Linked DNA regions of Drosophila melanogaster. The protein of the gene in region 2 purifies or fractionates together with the protein of the main gene of each other region. This does not show direct contact. Each region holds a gene or a part of one and is shown on either strand. Other genes may lie near its edges.

Region 1 (8,710 bases), about 12 Mb from region 2:
CAAGCGGACTGCTCACGGCAGTCCCAATGTCCGACCCTCGCGCCTGGTGGCCTGGATGAACCTGTCCAACTGGTTCAAGAGCAGACCCAGCGTGGAAACGCTGCGGGAACAGCGCATCTTCTTCGACGAGCCCTGCTTCGATACGGAACTGGAGATGGTCCTCAAGCACGACCAGCACCGCACTGTGCCGCGCATCGTTGTGGATTGCTGCGATCTAATCGAGCAAAAGTACCGCAGATCTACGCAGCCCATCGAGGGCATCTATCGGCAGTGCGGCGACTACAATAAAATCCAAACGCTGCGCTTCAGCATCGACGCCAACGACTACGATTCACTGCGTCAGCCGGACGTCGATATACACACGTTGACCGGTGTGCTTAAGCTCTTCCTGCGCGAAATCAAGAGTCCGTTGGTCAGGGTCAACGAGGCCAAGACCTTCATTGGACAGCCCAATCAGTGGTGTAAGTTCGGAAGGTATTCTTCTTCAAGTGCCCACTTCTAATTCTTCCTTTCCTACGCGCAGTGTTAACCGATCTGTCTGCGAAGTTGGACTCCCTGAAAAGACTGATTCGTTCGCTGCCGGAGAGCAACCGGGACACCATGGACTACATCTTCGGTCACTTCAATAGGTTAGAGAGCCTCGCGTAGTACTACAATATACATATGTATCGGTAACTAATATACATTTGAATTTGCAGAATAACCAAGGTGCCGCTGCAGCAGATCAGCGCTGAAACGCTGTCCATATCGGTGACGCCGTCGATCTTTCACACGGTGCCACAGGGCGTCCACATGCAGGACATCCAGCAACTTTTGCGCGAGGGCGAAACGCTGGCCGACTGCGTCAAGCTGATGATCGAGTACCAGGGGCGCATATTCGAGTAAGTGCGAGCCCCGCTGAGGAGGAACAGCCCCAGTCTCCCAGGTGATGGTCCATTTGGTGTCCGGGCGCCCGCCGCTACTGTTACCCACAAAACCCGAATCCCAGCCGCTTACGTCTCATCCAAACCGCTCACCTACTGTGCCGTTGTGTCGAACGCTTTGCTAACCACTCGAAATCCGAAATCCTCAACCCGAAACCGAACACCCCACTGTACCTGCCACACCTCTATACCCATTCCCGATTCGCTCCCGAATCTGTTTCCAATCCCGATCACATCGTCTACAGATGCACCGCCGATCGCCGCCGCCTGAGCATGCGCAACCTAAAGAAGACTCTGTCGCAGCCGGACCTGCTCTTTCACAATCTATTCTGAGCTGGCCCAATGACATCCAATGGATCCTTCATCCCAGAGAGAGCACTGTACATATATGGAATGACTTTACGCCCCGCTAGCAATTGTGTCCTAAGATTACTTTTTATATTCTTACTTTATCAACTAACTTTTGTACTTATGTTTACTAATATAAACACTAAAACTAATTGTTTTCTCAATTTGATATCTTTAATAATTATTTAAACTGACTAATGCTCAGATGCTCTTACGAATTCCCAGGAAGTCCAGAGCCACGTTTGTCCCAAAGCTCTTCTGCCGCTGAATCATCAAAAAAGAAGACTCGATATTGTATTTTCAGTGGCGTATATATATTTTTTTCTTGTATTTGAACTGCTATATAACATGGTGGGGTATTTTTTGGAGGAAGAGGGGCGAAAAGGAGCTGGGAATGCGGATGACGGGGACGGAGGCAGCTGGGAAGAATCTATGATTTTGCAATACAGTCTAATCGTCACTAGAGCTAATATGTAATAGATATATGTTTTTAAAAACCAACTGGTTTTAAGTGCTATGTGGCCTATAAACGTGTATATATATATATATATTAGATATATGCTTGTATGTACTAGGTTTATATTAGCTTTAGTCCGCATTCTGGACTTTATTCAACATTAACATAGGTGTATACACATGTATGTACATGTATCTTATGCGTCGGCCTTTCGAAATACATATGCGAATGAGCCATCTGATGTAGCGCCTTTAAATTAATGACAAAACATTGCGCTCGCTCCTTTGATCACAATTTGATTTGGGGTTAATCGATGCATGTATGTATATGAATGATATCTATGATGTAAATAGGTAGGATTCTGATTCGGTTGCTTTCCAATGAGGGGTTCTACGAAACTGAGGTGTTTGATTGCTCGGGCGAGCATCCAAATTAGATACATATCGAAGGCACAGGAATATTACACACATTTTACTCTAAGGGGCCGGGGTCCTCAGAACTTAATACCAACTGAATAACTACTGGGTTAACCATGGCAGCTGCCACACGCGCATCTATTTGCGATTACGTTAAACTAAATATAAAATCCACTCATTTCCGGTTCTTTTGCCATGCTGTTTACATTTGCCCAACCATCAATTTGCGACGCTTCTGTTGAAAGTTTGCGAATATTACTTAAAGAACGGGTTCTTAGATGCCGATGACTTCATGGTGCACAAGATCTGACGTTCCAGCTGAAAGTCATAGTCCAGGGACTTGAGCAGCGTAGAGATTTCTGGCAGTGTAGGTATCTATGCATACATATTTCGAATATCGAATTAGAGCGAGAGGTTGAAAGCCACTGGCTGCGTCACTCACATCATTCACAGCTTGGTTGCGCTGCAGCCTAACGTCCATGACGAAAGGCACTCCCTCCAGCTCGGTGTAGGTGCCCAAGGTGCCCGTTCCGCCGTAAGTACCGTGTCCTCCGCCAGAACCCACTCCCGCTGGCCGCGGTGGCGCCGGTCGCTGTGGCGAGTTTATTTGATAGTTGGCTTGGATCTCCTCATAGTCATGGTGTTCAGTCGGCGGTTGTGGCAGCTGTTTGATGAAATGGCCAAGCATTGAAAGTTTTTTAAGACGCAATTGACTCAGAGCCACGACTTACTGGTCCACGTGAGTTGCGTTGACCCTGGAGATTCAGGCGGTTCAGGGCCTGCTCCACCTCGCAAGTGGCTGGAGCTGGCAATCCTCCACCTGGCACTGGCGGCGAAAGGCGCACTGGGATCGCGCTGGTTTTGTAGCAGATAAGCACTCCGTTGATATCGCCGGCCAGCTTAAAGCCATCGGGCGCTGCCTTCAACTTGGAGCAGAGTATTATGTCGGTGACCGCCTGGGTCACAGTGCCGCGCTTGGAGAGCTTGTAGATCAACTGCCGCTTGCGCCAGGCCTTCTGGTCGCTATCGGCAGTGCGGGAGACCTGCGAGAATTCCTTGGGCGGCGGCGTTTTATCCGAAATCACTCTGAAAACCAAGTAGATTTCATTTATAAACGAAGAGGAGATGGAATCCAATGAGTTGAGCTCACTGTAGGGTCTCCACCACGTATTCCGGCAGGCCCTCGGACTTGGACAGGCAGAGGTAGCGTGTGTTCTGGCGTCCAAACAGGCTGTAGTCGCGCCATAGGTCCGCATCCGAATCCTGGTCGTAGGTGCGGCTTATGGCACTGAAGTTCTTCGGGCAGCTAAAACGCACAAAAGCTATTAGTATGGACAAATCACTGTCAAATGGGCCACTGCACACTAACCGCTCGAAATCCTCGACGATGTGCAGCGAGGTGATGGGTCGATTGTCCGGCAGAAAGCTCATGATGGAATTGAATACATTGGTGGTGCTGGTCGAGCCAGCACCATTGGTCGCCTCCAGCGGAGTACCCAGTAGAGCCGCCGTGGACAATGCCGCGTTGGGTGCTCCACCGATGCCGCTTTGAATGTGCTTGCCCACTTTGTTCATCGCTCGGATTCCTGAGGCAAATTCACCGACAGAGCAATTAGTAAGCTGACAATTTGAGTTATGAATCCTAGATGTATATACATATATATATATATATATATTTTTTAACTTGCACATTATGCAAGTTAAGTTAAAGTTTATGGAGGGAAAGTTGATATTAAGACCAGTTAAGGGTTCACTTTGTTGAGCTTTTGGCTTAACTGGAGCCAAATTAGATAGTGAAAAGAATGTTGGCGTTTCTTGGAAGTCAGTAAACAAATACGTTCTCACCCCTATAAACAATTTGAAACTAATTTGGGTATTTTTTTGTTTAATTGTTTATGTATCAGCACAAACAACTTTGAAATACAAACCGGTACCGCCGATACCGAGTTATATCTGATCTCTGCTGGTGTCGGTGGTGGTGATGATGTTGATCTGGTGGTGCTTTTTGCCGCCCCACACCAGTGATTCATGATCGTGCTGCTGGGTTTTTTGCATGGCATTCTTTTGTAGGTCGCCACACCAGGGCCAGGTCCGAGTTTCTCTTTGACCACTCACATGCTCACGTCGCCAAAGAAATGAAGTAAACAAACGCAGCCGCACGTTCGAGTGCGCACTTTACAACGGAATAGAATGGAGGAGATGACTCTCTTTTTTTTTACAATTTTGTGTGTTTTCTCGATTGTCAATATGTTCTGTATTTAATTACTGATAAGATATACATAGACAGGTGACTGCCGACAGCTCTGAGTCATCTGTAAAACTGCAAAAACCCACCAGCCAAATGCAATAAACAAAAGTCGGACCAGGGATACTACCCAAAAACAAAACAAACGAACCAAAGCAGTGCTTGTTTTGTTAATATATTAATATTGATATGGTTAAAGGTGCCATTATGTGATCAATGAAATGAATTCTGTTCTGTTTATCATTACGTAAAAGTGCTCATAGGGAGTTAGTATACAATATTAACTACTATTAACTGTTGTTAATAATATTGTTTTTCATAGTAATATCCCATCGATCATTAATCAAGATTTTATTTTTCCCTGTCCACCTAGACTTTCTAAGGTTTCGAAATGAAAACTCTTTGGCGCGCAGACAAAGAAAGAGGATTACAGCTAGTACATATGTATATGCAACACAACTCTGGGGAAGTGGGGAAACTCCGGCTGATAACCAAAGTGGAGCACGGAGCACGGAGCTTAAAAATAGAATCCATTCGAAAAAGACCGCACACGATTCCAATTATAAGTGCAAATTGCTAGGAAGTTCGAGTGGCTATCCCCCTCCCAATACTCAGCCATCCATTTATACATTTGTTCTATACCCCATCCGAAAAACATTAGTCAACGCAGCATCCACACACATCCATCCATATTCATCCATATATACGTACACAATTAAAGATTCCCGATGGAGCGATTCGGGTTCGGATTGCGACTATAGCGCCAGGGGGCCCGGTCCACTCGGTGACTCTGCGATCGCACTATGCAGCCCGGCGCCTAATAAGCTGCATTTAATTGAACAATTAACGATTAACGCCCGATCCGGTCGCCCGATTTTGTTTAATTTACTTCCGAGTACGTTCGTCTTCTATTGTTTGGCAAAGAACAACAAAAAATACACTGATTTGTTGGAGATGGTGCACCTGCGATGCACTCCTTTCTATATATCGATTGTTTTTGAACCAACCATCGACTACCGATGTTTGCCCAGTCATCATTTTATATTAAAAATATTATAAGGCAATTTGAGGAATCTATGGTATAGTGTATGACTAAGTAGTGTGGAATAGTAGAAGTGTACAGTAATAACTACTAATATAGAAGTAATATAGTACAGTAAAATTGTATTATAATATGTTATTGCTGTGTAATGCAGCTTATAAATAAGTTGACGCCTCAGCGATTTTATTTAATAATGGTTGAGAATTTATCTTAAAAAGATGCTTTAGACTTATGCAGGGGAATAACTAACTAGTTTGTTGGAATTATTAAAAAATTGCCTGTTTCTATAAATACATAAAATAACTTTTACTTTATTTCCTAGGACTTAGTTCAGAATTTAAAATGTCTTTCATCAGTTTAACAATCTCTGGTGACGTGTTTTTCCACTGAGCTTTTCAATAAACTCTTAAGAACTGAAAATTTAGGATTTATAATGCCAAGCCTTGGTTTAACTAACATAAAATCTTAATGCCAGATGAAATATTGAAATAACCAGTGGAGTTGCACTTGAACTCATAAGGAGCGTTGCGCCGATAGCTGTAGTCGATAGTGCCGAACAGTGCCATCACTAGCCGCTAAAGTGGCAATATTCACTGCGGTTTCTACTTTAGCATAAACAAATTGAATTCTGTCTCCATGGAGAAGGTGGAGGCGGTAACAGTGTCCAATGTTGATCCCTATAGGCGGATCCTAAACAAGGTGGTGTCCCAGCTGCTATTGGACAAGGGGGCCGGCCAAGCGAGCAACCACAGCCTGGAGACGCTCACCCAGATGCTGCAGGCGTGTAAGTTGACATTGTGATTACCATTTTGTACTAGGATAATCATTTAGCACGCCATTCCAGTGATCTGGGAGATCGGCAATTCGGCGCATAACTACTGCGAGCTAAGTGGACGCACGATGCCCACCGTGGGCGATGTCAGTTTGGCCCTGATTAACATGGGCATTTCGATCTCCAATTTGGATCCGTACATGCGCAAGGAGACGCACGTGCCCATTCCACTGCCCCCACAGCAGACGCAGCAGCGCCCGCTGAGTCTGCTGCAAGCGGGCATCAAGGCCCCGCATCCCCACTACGTGCCCAGCTACTTCCCTCCCATGCCCGATCCGCACGCCTACATACGGACGCCCACGCACAAGCAGCCCGTAACAGAGTACGAGGCCATCAGGGAGAAGGCCGCCTGCCAGAAGCGGGACATCGAGAAGGCGCTCACAAAGTTCCTCTGCAAGACCACGGAGACGAACAACCTCTTTCCCACCGAGGACAACATGTTTCCTTGTAAGAGGCACCATAATCATCCAGCGAACAATAATTAATAACCATTTCCTTTCAGTAATTGCCTGCAAACCGGCCTTTCCTCCCTATGCAGCCGCTTTAAATCCCACAGATCAGGTGTTTGACTTCGAGGAGCTGGAGTACCACTATCTGGTGGCCAATCGCACAGAAGATGAGCCCAGCAAAGGTGCGTTTCTTTCAAATAGTCAGATGCCACGAGTGCTAACACTTTCCACCCTTTTAGACGACGGCGAAGAGGGCGATAGCGAAAACGAGGAGATGGATGGCGACAAATCCAAAGAGGAGAAGCCCGAGCTGGATATCAAGCCCAATTCCAACACAAACAAGGCCATTTTGGAGAACCCCAACATCGATAATCCCTATTTGCGGGCGGCTACTCTGCCCAAGCGATCCAAAAATTGCCCCACACCCGGAACCATGCCCAGCAGGAGTCTGGCCACCACGGCGCCAACGATACGAACGCCCTCCACTCTAGAGATAACCAAAACTAACCTTTAAGAGTAGCAGGCGTTTTTAATTATGGTTTGAAAATGTAAACACTCCTGTTTTCTTTAAATTTAAAAAATTAAAAAATTTAAAGTGTAGTTTTAGGTTCAAGGACTAATATATTTTATTTTATACTTACATATTTGGAATCTTTAAGTTTGAACTGAAGACATTGTATAGGGCCAATTTCCTCAAAATGGCATAATATTTCGTGTTATATATTTAAATAATAAAATAAATGGGTACTCCAGCAACGATCTGTGCTGGAAGATCTGCAAATCGGCTATGTTCTTCAATCTGCAAACCGCTAATCCAGCGGCAAATGCACTTCCATCAAGGCAATTGAGGAAGGTCCAGTCGTGCCCTGTCCATTAAGATCAATTAGGCAACAAATGAGGCATCGGCAAGTGCTCTCCGAGATTTTGCATAAAAAGCCGGCTGTTCACCGCCACAATTGCAATTTACGGATACACGATGTCGGACGCACTGGAGGAGCCACCATTGTACCTTACGCCGCAGTTCTTCAGGCGCACCCTGGAGCACGGATTGCAGCAGCTGGACCTGCAGGTCATCGGTGTCCAGCTGACCAATCTGACGCGTGGCGGGGAAAACTACTGCAGCAACATTTACCGAGCTCAGATTAAGTATCGCAATGCCGAGAGCTGCGCAATGGAGACATCCCTGATCGTCAAGTCCATGCCGGACGAGAAGCAGGCCATTCTGGCCCGCCTGCACATTTATAACAAGGAGACGCTTTTCTACATGCACATCAAGCCCAAGCTGGAGGCACTCATGTGGAGGGCGGTGGATAGTTTCAGCGCTTGGACTTTGGCTCCCAAGTGAGTTCTAAGCGGCAGTGTGTCTAGGATCCATGAGGAGTAACTTTCGTTTTTCTATTTGCAGGCACTACTATTCCACGACCCAGCCGGAGCAGACGATCATCCTGGAGGACCTTTGCGCCGCAGGCTATCAGTTGAAGTGCCGCCAGCTGGGTCTGGACTTTGACCACGCCGCTCTGGTGATGGCCAAACTGGCCGAATACCATGCCCTCACCATGGTCATGGCCGAACGGGAGCCAGAAACCATTGTGGACCGCTATCCCTTCGGTCTGCTCCACATGGATGCCATCAATTCGGAGCCCTTCAAGCTGCTCTTCGGCACTCAGCTCCTAAAGCTGGCCGCTCTGGTCGGTGACTGTGAGGGATTCGGTGGGATCACCACAAAGCTCTACCGCTACCACGAGCACTTCACCGAACGAGTCCTGAAGGCGGTGTACCCACTGCGCGGCAACCATAACGTGCTCAATCACGGCGATCTTTGGGTGAACAACATATTCTTCAAGTACGATGCGGAGTACACGGTGCAGCAGGTGAAGATTGTAAGTACCAAAAGGTTGGCCACAAAAATTGAGGCTTCCAGCAATCTCCAATATTAGATTATTTATTTCTTCATAAACCAACTAAGAACTAGCAGCTAGTAGCTAGTGTTTATATCAG
Region 2 (5,527 bases):
ATTGCACTGGTCATAAGGCAAATATATACCCTTAATGCTGGATGGGATTGGAGGATTGTGTGATTTAAAAGTACTGCCGAGGCTTTGCATTGCGATGATTGATGCGATGAAGTTGAACTGGTATCTGCTAACCCTAACCCTATGCCTGGCTGCTAGCTGCCCCACTGAGATTGGTGCTGCTCCACTGGAGTTGGCTGCGGTTGAGCGCGTATATGTTTCTGTGTCTTAATGCTTAAACTAAAGGCTGCTGCTTCTGCTGATGGAGTCTGGGTACTGGTTCTACGAACGCTTGCTGCGCGCCTGCGCCTGCAGCAGATCCACCGACGGCACGACAAACACAAACGACAGGCAACCGAATCGCAGCAGGCTGCCGTGAGCCAGCACCGCCGATCCCTCCCAGGCGCCATCCACCATGGGCACTGGTCCGGCGTTCATGCAGCGGCAGGCGGGCTTAACAATGGGCGCCAATCTGCGGGGAGATTAAATCAACAAGTGGTTATCATCATCATTGGGTAAGTTGGGCAAATAAACTATAGCTACCGTTCTTTGTCGATTTTCTTCGTCTCGAACTGGCGATTAATGTTCCGACGCTTGTCCAGCATCTCATCGACGCGCTTCTTCAGCTCCGCATCGTCAGGTCGCATCGGCTTGCCGGCGTGCGTTGTCATCCTTTCGGTCACGTCGCAGGCATACAGCTGTCCATTCACCTCGGTGCCAAACTCTGAGTAATTGATCAGCTCGTACGACTTGGAGAATTCGTCGTAGAAGATGATGGCGTGCTGCGGTGAAATGCGACAACAGTAACCAATGGCCGACAGGTCCACGGTCTCCGTTTGCGCCAGCGTCGTCGATGGCGAATAGTGTCCACCGTAGCCAATGTACAGCGTGCGGTAGCGCATGAAAATCGAATGGTCCAGCCCCAGCGAACTGAACCAGCGGCTATCCTCGAGCATGTCGCCCAGTGGCGTTATCACCGCACGCGCCTGCACTTTGCACTGCAGCAGCTTGAGCTCCAGGCGCGATGCCAGCTCGTATGCCTTCTCCGTGTCGCTACGGGCACGCGGCGCATAGCTTTCGGCAGCGGCATCTGCTGCTGCAATGGCCGCCGCTGTGGCCAGTGCCGGATGCAGGGCCGTTGCGGGATCTTCGTCGGCGGCATTGCCATTCTTTTGCGCCAGAATTGAGGACGTTTCGCTGGTGAAGAGCAGCGAGAAACGGTTCATATCCTCCGGCGCCAGTTGGCCTTGCAGGGCAGCAGTTTCGCCAGCCACATGTGTGCCATCGACTGACGCCAGTTGACGCAGGCGACGAGCGGCCGTGCGATTCTTGTACTGTGTCACAATCTCCGGATGCTCTTCGACCAGCTGCTGCAGACGCTGGTGCGCCAGCTTCTTGATTATATCGACGTCCAGGTGTAAGAGGTCTGCATCGATAATACCCGTTGATTTCTTGCTGTCCTCCTCGTCCTCCTCGAAGCTAGCCTCCACCTCTAGGCTGGTCTTGGACTCCACCTTGACAACCGACGGCTGTTCGCTGGCCTGCGCATTCGATTCTGTATTGGGATTCTCCGTATCCACTTCGCCATTCACTTTATCGGCGGGAGTGTTCGTCTCGGTCCTTTTCTCTTCAGGACTGGGATCGCTGTCGCTATCGCCATCTATGGCCGTCTCCAAGGTTCCGAATTCCCTCTGAATCTCACGGAATTTGGCGTGAGCCGTGCGCAAGGCCTCCAGATCCTTGAGCAGCGATTCGGTGACCGACTCACGGGATATCTCCTCGACTTCGGTGGGCAGGTTATTGCGCCGCTTTACCCGATCGTAGCGCAACGTTTGGCGCATGGAGGGCAACAGCGGCGGCGGATGATCGTAGTGGTAGCGCACAATGGCTGGCACCTCGATGTGGGCGCGAGCACGCAGATTTCTCTTGGTGCGAAAGGGCGGATTGCGCGTGTTGACACGCCGGAAGAACTCAAGCTTGACATTTTCATGGTCAAGTGGCTGGTGGAAGCGATTCCAGAGACGCACCCGCTCCGTGGCCGAAATGCTATTGGTCATATTGGCATCCTGTGAACAGACATCCTCATTAGAACCCAAGCAGACCTCCATGTGCGTTGGCTGACTTACGATAAAATTCTCGGCATGATTGGGGCACATCCACAATCCAGCTGGCAGTGCCGTCAGTGGCGGATCCAGGCAATCCTGGTGAAAGTAGAGCGGACAGTAGTCGCAGGAGATGAGCGGCGCCCGTTTGCAGGAGCGCGTGCAGTAGAAACAGGTTTTGGCGGGCAGCGGCACCAGTCCCTGGGCATCCAGCTCAAACGGCTTGGAGTTGCGTCGCTGATTGCCGGCGCATCTGCGATTACCGCCATTTCCGCTCGGCGGATGCGTCTGCTGTACGGGTTGCACCTTGCCATTGCCCGGGAACTGGGTGTGCAGCTCGAGCTCCGGCGGCAGCGAGAATTGCTGCGGATTCATCATGGTGGCCGCCCTGATGACATCGTCCAGCGGCGTTGGCTTCTTGTTCGGATCGAGGGCGCGCTGTATGGACATCGGCATTTTGGCCAGCAGCTTCTCGGTGCTATTGCGTTCGCTGTTGCTGCGTTTGCGCAGGTTGCGGATCTTCAGCGGTATGGACTCCAGATCGCCAGACGATGGAGTATTCGCCCGTGAGCCACTGCCCGCCGAAGGCACACGCTCCACGGAACTGGCCTTGGATGAGGAGGCCGGCGGCTGGGAGAGCTTGCTCATGCGACAGCTGTGGCACAGCCACTGGCCACTGGGTATGTCCTCCTCGCTCAACGGTGGATCACTGTGGCGAAAGCACGAAATCAGCACTCAAAATGAGCAGCTATATGCGCGTGTATATACTCACTGGCATTGCAGGTGGAAGCTGGAGGGGCATCGATCGCAGCACAGCAGATTGCCGCCCTCCTCGCAGGCGTCACAATAGTCGTGGTTGTGGCCCCTGCCCGGGCGCCTGTAGTACGGATGCTTCGTGTTGGTGGACCGCTGCATCATCTTCTCGTCCTCGTTGGGCGGCGGGCGGATGAGCTGCTTGATTTGCTGCGCGAAGTAGTAAAGTTATGTTAAATGTGGGAAATGGAGACAGTTGTGAATGCGTTAATGTGGCAGCTCTAGAGTAGCCACCGCCGATTGGAATTGGAGCTCCGGGCAGTGGACACACTGAAGCTCTGAATGGCGTCCCGGCGGCACACTCACCTCCATGATGCTCAGTGAGGCGTTCGGGTCCTGGTCCAATTTTGACATCTTTTTCGCTCGCTCCTCTTATCCGGTGTACACAATCAATCTCGGAGCGACTTCACTTGGCGACGGAGGCGGGCGCAGTGTCGGTTGTCCAGCCCTGCGCATCCGACGAGCGAATGGCCACACTGCGCGCCCACCGATAGGCGATTAACGGAAATTCAGTGCAGACTGCATTTCACTCCAAATCTAACTACTTGCAATTAATAAAGTTTATATTGGGTATACACATTCGTAACCGAAAAATACCCAAGCAAACAAATAGTTAAAAATTAAATACCCAAAATTCTCATATTTCGCTCAGACCTCACTATAGACACCTATATGTTTACATCTTTTGGGCACACCACTAGCTAGCACTCGCTGTTTTGGACCAACGCCCGCTAAAAGAGCATCACAGCTGGCGGACGACGCAATTTGCCAGTTGATTTTACCAAACAATAGAACAAAATAGTGCAATGTTTTCGATATTTGGCAAACGCAAGCCCGCGGAAACGCCCACGGATGACCAGCCCATCCAGGGACCGGCGGAGGCAACCCGTCCAGGCACCAGTGTCGATGATTTCGTGTTCATAGAGCGCAAACCAGTACCGGATGCTCCTCATCCGGGTGTTCCAGCCGGCTCCATGTATCCACCTATGCCGCCAGCGGGCTATCTGCCCTATCCGCCGATGCCAGGACCGCGCAGCGATCAAGTGAAGCAGCCCGGAGCCCAAGGACCCGTCAATTACTTGCAGGACATTCCATTCGAGCTGGCACCCGGATTGGCCAACAAGGATCGCTACACCAGCACCCAAATGCAGGTGGACAGCATATTGGCGCTACTAACGCGCCAATTGTCCGTGGACGAGCTGGCCGAGGAGTACACCTTCGCCCTGGAGCGATCCGTGCAGAACGAGTGTTACTAGCTTTAGATCCATAGATCCACTGGTTAATATTCATACATTACATTACATTACATATAATAAAACGTTGCTTATTTAATTGTAAACCACATATGCAGTGCTCTTTTGCTTGTTAGTGGTGTGAGTCATTGGAATTCCTTAATCTTGTTGCCATACAATTAATGTTCCATTTCTTTGAAAACATGTAGAACTTTTCTGACTATCAAGTAGTCCTTTGGTTTTACCTCGCTCACATTTCAACTGGGACTGCTCATAAGGTGATCCACTATCGCAGCGTGAATACATAAAATTGTTAGTGCTCCCGTTTACCCAAATTTTTCGTACACAAAAAAGATTTCGAAACATTATTTTGTGTTTATAAGTAACCAAGTTCAAAGCTAAATTTCCAATACGTACAAATTTACCAAGCCGAGACGAGCCGTTCCGTTTCGTTTCGTTTAGTTCAGTTCCGTGTAGTACTCTTCAGCCATGGCCAGCTCCAATGTCTCGGATTGGGATGAGCCGATGCCCACGTCGACGGAGTCGCTGCCCGAGGAGGAGGATCCGGATGTGTGCGCAGAGGAGAACGTAAAGAAGCGGCGGGAGGAGGAACTGGACAAGCTGGAGTTGTATGTGCGGCGCATGGCCTACCAGCCGACACTGCCGCCCAAGGTAAAGCCCTACGACGTGGCCCTGTCCAAGCCCAAGTTGCACACGCTCATCGACAACTACGAGCAGTTCAAGGATGTATACGATCCGAAGCTGCGGGCCAAGCGGATCAAGCGCATGCTGGGCAAATACAAAGCCATTACCACGGAGTAAGTGCAGCGCTTGCATCAGTTGCTAACGCGATCTAATCATCTCATCTCATTCCCAAAAACAGACAGCTGGAGCAGATCCTTAAGAGCAACAAGACCAAGGAGCGAAAGAAGGAGGATTTCCTGAAGCGCAAGCAGGAACTGTACTACAACATGCTGACCAAGCTGGAGCGCCAGTGCCGCACCCAGTACCTGAACGTGCTCATCAAGAAGTTCGCCAAATTCATTTCCCATCTGGCCACAACGATGCGCATTCCGCCGCAGCTGGTGGATCCGTATGCGCGCATGCAGCGCGGCATCTTCTGCAACATCCTGTTGGCCATTGGTGTGCAGCCCACCTCACAGTCGGCCATCTACTACACCAGCCAGGATGCCATCGAGTACGATGTGTGCCATCGCCTCGCGCACGCGCTGCTCAGTTTGATCATTAAGGCGCTGGACTCGGCAGCCACAAGGGATCCCAACGAGCTGGCCAAGCCGGCCGACTTGGACTTCGAGATGGACAATCACATCAAGCGTCGGCTCATGTGCGCCGCCGAGAAGAAGCTGCTGTACGAGCGCCGTC

The links. The genes of interacting proteins can lie anywhere in the genome.
Region 1: the proteins of CG15891 (region 2) and Mvb12 purify together in Drosophila melanogaster (affinity purification with mass spectrometry, with the first as the bait; one large-scale study listed by BioGRID). This does not show direct contact.

Annotation. Positions count from the first base shown.
Region 1 is NC_004354.4:18,095,993-18,104,702, forward strand, and holds Mvb12 (multivesicular body subunit 12), read right to left. Parts: upstream 5,323-8,710; 5' UTR 5,101-5,322; intron 4,270-5,100; exon of another isoform or gene 4,073-4,269; intron 3,755-4,072; exon of another isoform or gene 3,731-3,754; 5' UTR 3,720-3,730; coding exon 3,514-3,719; intron 3,451-3,513; coding exon 3,295-3,450; intron 3,231-3,294; coding exon 2,876-3,230; intron 2,809-2,875; coding exon 2,587-2,808; intron 2,520-2,586; coding exon 2,400-2,519; 3' UTR 1,566-2,399; downstream 1-1,565. Other genes in the region: RhoGAP16F (Rho GTPase activating protein at 16F), read left to right, coding at 1-461, 524-629, 699-881, 989-1,256; Taf8 (TBP-associated factor 8), read left to right, coding at 6,068-6,215, 6,276-6,710, 6,766-6,894, 6,952-7,226; CG7135 (uncharacterized protein), read left to right, coding at 7,689-8,053, 8,118-8,592.
Region 2 is NC_004354.4:6,293,245-6,298,771, reverse strand, and holds CG15891 (uncharacterized protein), read left to right. Parts: upstream 1-3,426; 5' UTR 3,427-3,718; coding exon 3,719-4,168; 3' UTR 4,169-4,255; downstream 4,256-5,527. Other genes in the region: CG3815 (uncharacterized protein), read right to left, coding at 280-469, 541-2,063, 2,124-2,808, 2,872-3,062, 3,219-3,266; CG15892 (uncharacterized protein), read left to right, coding at 4,634-4,962, 5,028-5,527.